Nothobranchius furzeri: one gene and its partner. The protein of the gene in region 2 interacts with the protein of the main gene of each other region in a biochemical or structural test. Links are inferred from orthologs where the notes say so. Each region holds a gene or a part of one and is shown on either strand. Other genes may lie near its edges.

Region 1 (6,449 bases), on a different chromosome or scaffold from region 2:
AGAATTTTATGTAAAAACGTGTAGCTAACACGCTAAATGTGACAAAATTGTGTTCGAAAAATAAAGTTTTGCCAGCAGCCGGCTTCCACAATAATACGTAAAAAGCAGATCTCCCAGATTACAACTCAATCTAGAACTATGGAAATAATAATTCTGAGTCATCAGGATGAATAGAAGCTGCAGGATGGAGCTGATCATTGGTCATGACCTCTACTAACCTCAGAGACAACAGGCTGCAGGCTGTCAGGTTTACAGAAACATGAAGAAACTTCAACGTTTCTGTTCGTTCCACAACAGGTGGAGACAAATGTAATCAGATTCTACATTTCAAGTGGGGACATGCCGTCCTCCACCCTCTGTTAGTCCTGTGGTGGAGTGGGCGGGGCCTTAATCCTACAGACAGCTGTGCAAATTAGGGAGTGTCAGCACAAGTGGGATGTTTTGTGATGGACCAGGGGAAAGAGCTTTATGGAGATGTTGTTTCGTGAGAGCAGGTGGATCCAAGTTCAGTTAAACCTCCGACGTGTCCAGAGTTGTTTCTGTTTCTCTGTGTCATAAAACTTTTCCCTCAGGAGAGAAACAAGCCGACTCATTTATCAGGAATGTGTCTCATCATTTATGCGGGATGATGCAACTTCTCAGCTGCACTTGTACAGCAGCAGCCACAGCTGATCACTCGTTTTAGAGACTTAGACTAAACGTTTCCTTCAGTGTGACCTTTTGTTTCCATCACAAACAAAACCACAGAAAGGTTGTTGGTGCTACGCCAGGTTTCACATGCAGATTAAAACTAGCCTTTTGTGCTATTTTACTTTTTTAATGAATTCTGTACTGGCTGCATTCCATTTTAAGAGAAAAAGTCAAACCATACAGTGTGACTGACAATACATGTTTTAATTATCAAAAGTATCAAAAACAAAGCTCAACAGGTGACAACAGGAAGTGCGCAGCAGCAGTGCAGTTGTTCCTGATATTTGACATTTTATTCATTTAGGCTGGGAGCAGCTACAAAAACAACTTTCAGTGACAAAATCAGGCACAATAAAGCACAAATGAGGTGTCTAACGAGCATCAGGATGCTAAACGACACACACACCACGACCAGACGCCTGCGTCTCTTTAACAAAGTGGCCTTTGGCTAAAATCACAAACTACAGACAACATAAACCATCCTCATCAGCAGAAACCTGCTAAACACAACAAATCCCATCCAAACCCCCAAAAGGACAAATGAGACGGCGCAGGATCACAGACTCAGCAGAGACATTTAATGTGATGTTTAATAAATATGCTTATTTAACTAATAATTGCGGTTTTGGTCTGAGAAGCTCAAAAAGGGAACAGAATTAAGTAGAAATAACACTTTAGCTTCTTTTCAACACAGATATAAAATGATGGATTAATAATACAATCAGTCCTGCAGGAGAACAGAACAGAAGTTCATCATCTGCATATACGATTATCCTGTCATGTTTACAGGCTGCAGCCATGGCTGCAGCACGGAATCATTCCCGTTATTACTAGAAACACTCCCGTTAGTTAAACATCTACGTCTGTGTCCTGAGGGGTTAGCAGCAGCAGCTTCAGAGGGTCGCTAACATCACATCCTACCTTAATAAATAGGTTTTCTACAGCAGGTTAAACTCAACCGGCCTGCAGCTACTCTTCTTTCCACAGAACGGTTTGTGTGCATCAGTCACCTTAAAATCACCCCGGGACAAAAATCAAACCACTAACTATTGAAAACATCAGTGAAGTTTGGGTTTTTGTTTGGTTTCAGTGCGTCGGCGTCTGTCCTCTGTCCAGGACGTCCCAGCAGCTGGGAGGTGAAGGACGGAGACGTGGCTTTGTACGCTGCTTCCAGCAGCTGATCCACGTCTCCTCGTTCTTGGCGCAGGTGGAGAAAGTCTCACAGCATCACCATCATAGACACTGGATGTCGTCAAGCGTCAGGACGCCTCCGTCCAGAGGTGCTACTGTGGCGGTAGATAACGAGGAGGAGGTGGAGGAGGAGGAGGTGAGGCTGTGGAGCTGTAAGGTGCTCTCCTGGATGTGCTGGATGAAAAGCTTCCTCTCGTCTTCGGGCGTTTGGCCGTTCTGGGCCCGGACGATGCAGGTGGGCCGGTGCAGGTTCAGCATGTAGACCAGCTGCTGCTTCTGCTGCTTCAGCTCCTCGATCTGAGCTTTAAGATCCGCGTTGACACTCTCCAGCTTCTCCGACTCCTGAGGAGGACAGGGACAATGGAGGAGTTAATGTTGTTCTTCATGAGCTGGGTTTCAGAGTGAAAGGGAACAAAAGTCTCTTACCTTCTGCAGACCTTCCGTCTTCTCTTTCTTCTTGTTGCGACACTTTGCTGCAGCAATCTTGTTTCTTTCTCTCCTCCTCTTCCTCCTCTCGTGTTCGTCATGAGTCAACTAAAAGCCAAAGAGACAGACGCCGTTACTTCTCCTGATCCCCGTCTGACAAACAGACCAGGTAACCTCAGAGTTCGCTCCGTCTCACCTCTCTCTTGAGCCTGGCGGAGGGCCGCTCGTAGGCCCGGTCCGAGCTGGAGCCGTCTGAGCTGACGTCGGCGCTCAGCCCGTTGGACAGACGCTTGGTCTGGATGGCCAGGCGCAGCTCCTCCTTCACGATGGGTGTGAAATTAGTGAAGTCGTCCAGGGTGAGCGTCCCCGGTGGGGACAGGCAGGGCACCAGAGCAGAGCAGCTGATGTCGGCCAGAGAAGGACCAGGATGCTGCAGCATCATTCTAATTAAAAATAAAAAACAATGACTAAATCAAATATGCAACAAGTTTCACATCAAATAATCCAAGAAGCTCCTAAAGCTGCTGAAGGAGCAGCTCCTGCTCTCTTTCGGCTGAGTAACTCCTCAGGAACAAACTCAACTAATGAGAAGATCAGCTGTTCCTGAACAGCTCTGCTGACAGCCAAACATCTAACCTAGAGGAGCCCTGAACTTAATAGAATAAAGCAGGAGTTACCGTTGACCCAAACACAGCAGAAGGATTTATGATCAGGTTTGAATCTCAGCAGGAGCAACATCGTGAAAGCTGCACGTGCAGCTCTATTTATTTATTAAGTTCGACTCTTTTGTGTTTTTCTCAACACTTAAATCTGAACCATTACATCAAGGAATTATTTCATCTTCATAAGAAAACGGCTCACGTTTACAGTTAATCTGCATTATAACATCTTAAAGTCATTTTATGCGTTTTGTTTACTATAAACTGTTTGAATCAACTTTAAAAGTTCAAACAAGTTCGGTCAAAGTTCAAATCTAATAAGTTGAATCAATAAAAACTTCCGTTTATTTCTTAAATAAATCAAATCCTGATGGTTTCATTCAGCCCACCGGGAAGCGCTCCGCTCCTCACCGGGACATCCCCGTTCCCCCGAAACACCCCCTCCCTCCGGAACCCCCCGCCTACCTGTTGGTTCTGGATCGGACGGTCCGGACGGGTTGAGGAAGTGAACGCCTGCAGGAGCCTCGCTCGTCGCCGCTGCTCTGAGTTGCGTTTGACCCGAATCGGTTGCATCACCGGCTTTTATGATCCGGGCTGGGGGCGGGGCCTGTGACGTGGCGGGAGGAGCCAAGAGGAGCAGCTCTGAGCTGGATGACGTAATTCTATTTATAAATGTGATTGTGTGATGATGCAACCAGGCAACCACGGGCTGATCTGCTACAACACAACCCCTCCTCCTCTTCCTCTCCTTCAGTTCATCTCTCCATCCTTCCTTTAGACCAAACACCCCCCCCCCCACCCCCCACCCCCCCCCACACACACACACTTCCTCTGAGTAAGTTCCTAGAAAGCAGCAGAAATCACAGATGATTAAAAGTTCTGAGCGCCGTGTCTTCCCGAGTGCTCTCACTGATCTGACACAGACACAGTTTCCCAATCCCAACATTCCACATTAGGACGTGAAGTGATTCGCTCTGGCTGAATGACACCGGATGGGTTTTATTTATTGAGGTTACACCTCCATCAGGGCCTGGAGAAGCTAATGGTGGGAGGAAGAAGGATCAGCTTATAGATAAGTTTTTTTGTGTGTCTCAGCTGTGTGTGTGTGTGTGTGTGTGTGTGTGTGTGTGTGTGTGTGTGTGTGTGTTTTTGTAGCTTAATTCTAACTAATCTGATCCTGTTTAGTCGCCCGTTGAGAGATTCCAAAGGTCAGAGGTCACCTGAAAACAGTGAAGTTCGAAATGATTCAGGGAATAATGGCCATGATGCTGTTTGTGCTTTTATTTTGAAACTTTAAATGTTTGATCCTGGTTGAAATGCTTTTTTCATTGAAACCTTTAATAAAACCATTAAGCAGCAGGCAAATAACATGGAAACCCATTGCCTTACAGGGAAAATTGCTCCGTTAGACCACAGGTTGCGTTGTTTTACCGGCAGGATTAAAGGGATTTAAGTCGGATCACTTCCTGAAAAACCTCACAGATCTGGTCTGATTGTACAAAATATGTTTATATTTGGAAAAAACTTCTAAATGTTTATCTCTGGATCTCTTAACCTTATTTACAGACCATTTATTTTGGTTATTTTAAGAGAACATTTCCTGTAAAAGATTTATAAGGATCTCAAAAATAACTACGAAAAATAAAATTAAACGGAATTAAAATCTGGGATATTTGGAGGCTTAATACTGCTAATTTTCAAAATAAAAGCTCCTGTGGACAACTGCATATAAACTAATATTTCTGGAATTTTTAAAAATATTTAATGGACCGGTACCGAGCCTCGGCCCAGTTGTAGAGGGCTGCTGCTCTAGGGACTGGACGTCAGTCATGTGATCAACATTGTTTTATTATTTTAGTAATTGTCTTGTGTTTATTATATTGTAATAACAATATAATAATAATAATATAACATTATATATTACAAATACATCAAAGTGAAACTTTTCTGTGACCCGTTTCATCACTTCTCGCCAGCTCCTCAATCGCCCCTCCCTCCCTTCCTGCTGAAACTTTCCCAGTAATAAAGAAACTTCCAGTTTCAGCTGCTGGTAAATAATTCAAAAAGAATAACTTTCACTTTCTGACAGCTTCTCTAGAAAAGATTTCTTTAGGGTGTTTGGAATTCTGCAACAGGAAACCCGACATGAAACCTGATCAGCATGGATCCTCCTCATCCAAACACCCTCCACAGGTTCCAAGGAATTCTGAGCTGGGACACAAAACAAGGCTTTCATGGTGCAAAAACACCCAGCTGTAAACACGATAAATGTGTGAATAATCAGACGAACAACGTTCCGGCTCCGAGGTCCAGCAGGTCCCATAAAGCTGCTGATCTGGAGTCTTATTGTGTTTAAAGGTCAGAGATAGGTGCAAACGTCGGCCGCTGCTACAGAAACAGACCAAAACAGCCTCAGGCTGCAGGAAAACTCATCCAAAGGTGTTTCAGACGATCAGAACCTTAGAGGTTTCAGCTGAAGCTGCACCTTCACCCGAAGCACCTGGAATTAGATCGTCACGTTCCCGATCAGCCAAGAGACGTTCCTACAGACGCTTCAGAAAGCAAAACAAAAGCTGCAGGAGAGACGAGTCAGAATGAAAGTGAAAAGGTCAGAGGTCACCTTCGGGGGGAGGGAGGGGGGTTCATTTTCTGTGTGTCATGATGAATACCAACAATAACCAGCAGCATGACTGTATCTGAATGAGACGTTCAGAGGACGGTTCTCATGCGTTCATCTGTAACTGATTCATGTTGGCAAACACAAAAACGGTCAAAGCTCAGTTCGTTTTACAGAAACGGAGAAAAAACACCCTGGAAAAGGAGCCGAGACTCAAAAACAACCTCAGACAGTCGGAATAACGTCGAATGTGTGATTAAAACAAAACATTTAATCTTTTCAGCTGCTTCTGAAGCAGAACTCAGCTTTAGTTTTTCAAAATAAAAGTCTGAAACAAACACAAACCCAAAAACATCTAAAGCCTTTTTCTGTTTGAGTTTCACCAGAAAACAGGATAAATATGAAACGGTTCATTGGCTTTATACATTCAGACATATGTTTGAGGCTCTTATTGTGAAGGTTTAGAGGAAGTTCTGGCTTCCCCAGTGGATGCTGCTACAGTTAGCACCTCGGTGTTTTGTTCCAACTTCATTCTTGTTTTGACGGGCAAAAATGTCAGCAGAACCACTAAATAAACTAATAAAATGATCAACGATTACATTTAAATGTTGATTAAAAGATTCAGACGGCTAGGGCAGGAATCCACCTGTTACCTGTAACTTTGTGTTCTCCATCATGAATGAAGCAGGAATGGAAACTTTACTTTCATCTGTGGAGACAAAAAACAAGCATCAACATCTGGAGAAAATGTGAAAAACTGGGATGGAGACGAGGAGAAAGGAGGCGCTGGGACTAGAACAGTTTAATAAAAATAAAACATAAAAATAGACTAATTAGGCTTTAACTAGAACCTCTGGATTTATTTC
Region 2 (5,568 bases):
TCTTGTTTTGAGTAAAAAATCTGCCAGAGTTGCTTGGCTAGAATTCCTAAAAATTAGCAAATAAATCAAAATTTTGATTATTTTGCTAATTTTAAGAAATCTAGATAGGCATCTTTTGTTGACCCCATTGGCAGATTATTTTACTCATAACAAGAATATTTGGATTATATTTAATACCTTTTTTTTTAGAAAATACTTAATTTTTCTTTTTGTACTAAAATAAGATAAAATGTCTAAAAGTTTCTTTATTTTTCTTTTGTATATATCTGTTTTTGCAGTGTATAAATAATACCATAGACTCTGAGCTCTTGATCAAAATAGAAATAATCATATTTGTGGCTCAAAATGTTATTTTACCTTCAAAAATATAATAATTATTTAAATAACAAAACTGTTATTATTAGTCTGGGAGGATCAGTTGCCTAATCCATCTTGTATCATAGATTAAGAACATCCTGTATGCAGGTATACTGTTATGACCTTCTTCAGCACCTCTCTCTTTATTCTGCTCTCCCCAACTATTCCATCTTCCTCAGGATCCACTGATTTCCCTCTTTCCTATTGACTCTCTCTCTTTCTTAACATTTTTAATCACAATTGTCCATTTTTGCTCATTTTAAATATATATTTTAAACATTTTCTAAATGCTTTTTTATATTTTTACATTTCTTTTTGTTTTTGTGAAGCGCCTCGTGATTTTTATCTTGAGAGGCGCTATAGAAATGATACTTTCTTCTTCTTCTACTGGCACTTTAGGTCAAAGTAAAACGGATTTTGTGTTTGTGTCAGAATGAGAAATTGGTTTTTTAATCCCTTCCTGGGAGCAGACAGAAGAAAAACAGTATTTTGAGAAAGACCAAGAAAAACCTTCTTAAATCTGTTTCATGTGCTATAATCAATAACATTATGTTCTTCAAAACTCAATTTAATCAGATTTAACCCCCCCCCCTTGCTGTTGCTTCTGTAATTCCTAAAATAACCAGCAGAGGGGGCAAGACACCAATCATGACACGCAGACTGCTACACCCAGTCACGTGGTCGGGATTATTACACAACATGGATTTCCAAAAATTTTGGCTCCACGGAAGGAGAAACCTTCATCAGCTCTATGAAAATGAGTCAGAAAAACTAACATCTATCCAGTTTTATGAGTAACTGATGATGTCATATGTGGTTTCTGTTTCATTGAGACTTCCTTTAATGAAATCAACCATAACAATTATGGTTACAGGATATGTTTTGAATTCATTGGTAACAATTAGAGGAAACATTTGGATTGCTGAGCAGCGTTTAATTCAAACACAAAGGCATGAAGTCAAATAACTGAAGGCTACAAAGTAACAGCAACAGTCTGTGCAACAGAAATATTCTTCACATTTAAAACACAACGAAGTAATGACAATTTGGTAAAAATAATAAAAATAAAAGAAAGACATACACAAAGTCTGAGTATAATAAACACTGAATATATGGCGCCACTTGGTGCCCAAGCTTGAGGGCAACATTCGAGTTAGTCAAAAACATGCAAATCTGTCTACAGAAATACAAAATAGGATAAATGATTATCCCTCACACACACACACACACACACACACACACACACACACACACACACACACACACACACACACACACACACACACACACACACACACACACACACACACACACACACACACACACACACACACACACACACACACACACACACACACACGAGGTAGAACATGATTTCAATCAACTGAAGGCATCTGTTCTTCATTTCAGCCAATGTCCAATAAACTAATTATTAAGACATGACAAAAGATTATAATCTAGTGATCCGCTGTCATCAGGCAGCTGCATAATAAATAAAGATATTTTCGTTTACATTGGCCGATATCATTGTCAAAGTCCCTTTAATATGACCGCTATCTCATGTTCTACCACGCATGTTTACATGTTAACAATCCCAAATAACATTTTAAAGCAGCCGATTAGTGATGGCAGCCGGTTTGGCACACATATCCGGGCTACATGTAGAAGAAACCAGCATCTAGAACGTCCATGGTGCTTATATGCTGGTCTGTAGCCCAACAGGAGGTCTGTCCGTCCCACTAGTGTACTTGGACTTCATGTGGCAGCAGCTGGCAGCCGCTGTTGACGTGCGTGAGAACTTTCTGTTTCAGCTGGGCCACTTGCTCCCTCAGCAGGCTGGCCGTGGAGGCCAGGTCGGTGTTCTGGGTTTTCAGCGTTTTCACCTTGTCCTCTAGCCTGGAGATCCGCTCCAGTTTGCGCCTCCGACACTTGGAGGCTGCAATCCGGTTTCGGAGCCTCTTCCTCTCGGCTTTGATGCGCTCCTGTGAGTCCATGTCGACGGGGGACAGCGGCGGGCTTTCCCCGAAGCTCTGCACGTCAGGGACGGTCTGAGGCTCCTCCTTCAGCGGCTGAACCCGAGAGAGCTCCTGCTGCAGCGGGGCTGCCCCCAAGTGATGCGACGGAGGCGGCGGGAACGGAACCGTGTCCGTGGAGTAGTTGACCGTGGTTCCCAGTGGCCCACTCCCGTAACTGTTCAGATTCGTGTAAACAGGTAGTTCCGGCTGTATGGTAACCGGGGCGATGTTAACACCAAGGTCCAGAGTGTTGTTGGTCTGCCCGGTTCCGTTCAGCTGGTTCTGCTTGTGTAGGTCTTCCAGCGCCTTCACGAAGCCCTCGGCGAACTCCTGCTCGTCCGTCACCGTTTTCGGGTAGATGAACTGGGAGCTGGTCGGCGTCGTGGTGACCATCCCATTGGACTGGATTATTAGCCTCTCCAGCTCCGGGGAGGCGAGCTTGAGCAGCCCCAGGTCCGGGGAGTTAAGGATGTTCTCGGCGTCACGAAGGTGCGGTTTGAGGTCAGCGTCGTCCGCCAGGCTCAAGCTGATGTCCTTCTTCATCATTATTTCCGTTTGAGAAAGGAAAAGGCTGCCGGTTCGACGCTACCTCAGAGCGGCGTCCTACCCATAACCCCAGAGAAAAGACCTGCGGCGGGAAATATCTGTTGTTATATTTCAGGTTTAATCTTCACTGCGCTCAGGTGACACCGCCTTGCTGCTTCTACGAAACTGAGGACTTGCTCGTGCGCACCGCCTCGAGCCTTTCTAGACTCTTACGTCCCTTTGTGGCACGTCAGAGCGCGCACATTGGGCAGAAATTACGTCCTCCGTAAAAGAAACAAGCTGAACAAAGAGGAGGCAACTGACAGGATGTCTCACTCGGCGCGTTTTGTCGGTACCCGAACAATAAATTACAGTTATCTGACTGTTTATGGATTTATTTTGTCTGGATTAGTTTTGCTTTTTATTATTATAACAGTTGGCATTGGCTACAACTTCAGTATTTCTAAAACGGTGTGATACTGTATGTCATCGAAATAAAAAAGACGTTTTAAAACTTTTGAAAAGTAAAAACATCCATTATTGTATAGCCAGAAAAGGCAGCTTTATTTTTGTAGCACATTTCACACACAGAGGCAATTCAGTGGGGTTTCCATTGGCAAGACTAGAATTAACATTAAAATCAACGTGACAGCACCATTTAAATACACAAATTCGTTTCAGATTTAAAAAAAGAAAAAGTTAAAGAGCAAGTCAACCCCTGTCAGATTCTTACTCAACTCCCTCTTCATGTTTGAAAAATGCAACAAATGCTGTTGCCTTGCAGACCGAGAGAGCGGAGCCGCAAACCAATACACACACACGCAGGCTCACAACGACATTGTGACATCATAAGGACCAGTTTACATCATAGCATACCTCTTAGCCAATAGCAGTGGCAGATTTAAATTCAAATGCAGTGCAGAGTTTTTACCTGACGACGGCACAACACTGACAGTTTTAGGCAGAATATTTAAATTTTAACTAAGATGCACTGAAGTGCCAAATTATTGACTACACGTGTCTGCAGCACAATTAGACACGCATTTATGTAGTTTATCAGCAAAAAAAAGTTGATTTGGGGGTGACTTGCTCTTTAAAAGGTGAGCAGTTACAGTGCAGAAGGTGCAGCATGAAAACAGTCATAATAGTAAATATGAACATTATAATTAGGCCTACATTAACATGCAAACTTAAACCTTCTATTTGTCAAACTGAATTTAGACAGGCTATTCTACACCATCAACAATAAAACACAAACTAAACCAGCTTTTCTCTGCATTTCTGTTTAGTTAATGTTTGAGAAAAGTTATAATAAATATATTAACATTTCTCAATTTATTTATTTTTCATTTTTACCGACAGTTCCAGACATAGTTCAGCAAATTAAAATAAAATAACATAAAAAATGCCCTTTTTAAAGGATTAAGCTCAGCTTTTTGCAATAAGTCAAAATGAAAGAAAACATAAGACAAATGGTCTAAGTGTCTACCACACTATTTACAAAGTCCCTGGGCTTTTCCTTTTTACTGGATTGTTTTTCTTTGAAAAGAAGCCTCAACCACGAGTGGTCCTTTGGGGTTTACCCAAAACACACAACACTGTATTTACACGCATGTCCTTCCCTCTCTCAGTCCTAACATGTGACTTTAACTTTAGTTGTTTTTGTTTATGATGAGCTACTATGCAACCCAGAGCTAGAGTGTTTCCAAGGTCAAGAACGATTTTTTACTTCCTGCAGAGTTGTTCTTTTTTATTATAGAAGATCTTTGGCTATATTTCTGTTGCCAAGGAGAAGAGAAATAAAGACAAACACTGAGGAGTTACAATGATATTTGATGCCATGATGAGTTTTTTTTTTTTACTTATAAAATCTGGAAAGTTTAAAACATGTTTTCATTGTCAGAAACTGAAACAACAACAAAAAAAAGAACATTTAAATACAACTGGTCAACGAAATGAACTTGTGTGATGTCGCGTTGCACAGAAAACTAATGCAAATAAAATTATAGACTGTTTAGCTTTGAAGCCCATGTTTTATAGTCAGAACTTAAAGATTTAATTAATATTTGCACAAGAGAAGCTGGTGTTGGAACTGAGCAACAGAAAATATAACACCTCTGTGTGGTCAAAGCTGACCCAGATAAGATAGATCACTTCTCCTTTCAGCCTCCAGTGTTTCTGGACTTCAGCGTTTGGGGAAGTTGTGTCTGAAACTTGGTTTGGTTTCAACCTTTCCTCTGGTCAGTCAGCAGGTTTTGGTTTTTGGCCTTGTTCTGTTTTCAGATTTAACTGTTTCTATTCATGACGCTTGTGCGTTTCATCTCAAGCATTTCCAGTCACATCTCTCGCTGCCTTACACCTTCATAAACACCATGGCTGCTTTCAGTAACAGAGAGTTTGCTCTCTAATCCTGCACCACATAAGCTTTGTACAAAGATTAAACGTTAAACATTTCCCTACCTTGACCACACTCATATTCACAAAGCAGCTACTGAATAAACCAGTACAGCAATTGTTCCAGAACAATGCAGTTGCCTTCACTTCTTCTCCAGCCTGCGGAGGGTTACAGAGAGGAGGTTTATGCGTCACAGGTAGGCCCCATCCATCTGCAAAGCTGTGTGCGGGCGGATCACATGGTAGACCCTGTGATGTCACATCTCTTAACACGGGC

Evidence for each region.
Region 1: the proteins of jund (region 2) and atf3 form a complex in vitro, tested with the Homo sapiens proteins (2 studies listed by BioGRID and IntAct, with this or other methods). The link is inferred for Nothobranchius furzeri from reciprocal best matches to the Homo sapiens genes JUND and ATF3.

Annotation. Positions count from the first base shown.
Region 1 is NC_091742.1:15,052,673-15,059,121, forward strand, and holds atf3 (cyclic AMP-dependent transcription factor ATF-3), read right to left. Parts: upstream 3,536-6,449; 5' UTR 3,432-3,535; intron 2,751-3,431; 5' UTR 2,750-2,750; coding exon 2,504-2,749; intron 2,416-2,503; coding exon 2,308-2,415; intron 2,224-2,307; coding exon 1,924-2,223; 3' UTR 1,247-1,923; downstream 1-1,246.
Region 2 is NC_091748.1:65,725,077-65,730,644, forward strand, and holds jund (transcription factor JunD), read right to left. Parts: upstream 3,137-5,568; 5' UTR 2,919-3,136; coding exon 2,097-2,918; 3' UTR 1,879-2,096; downstream 1-1,878. UniProt on the Homo sapiens protein: Transcription factor binding AP-1 sites.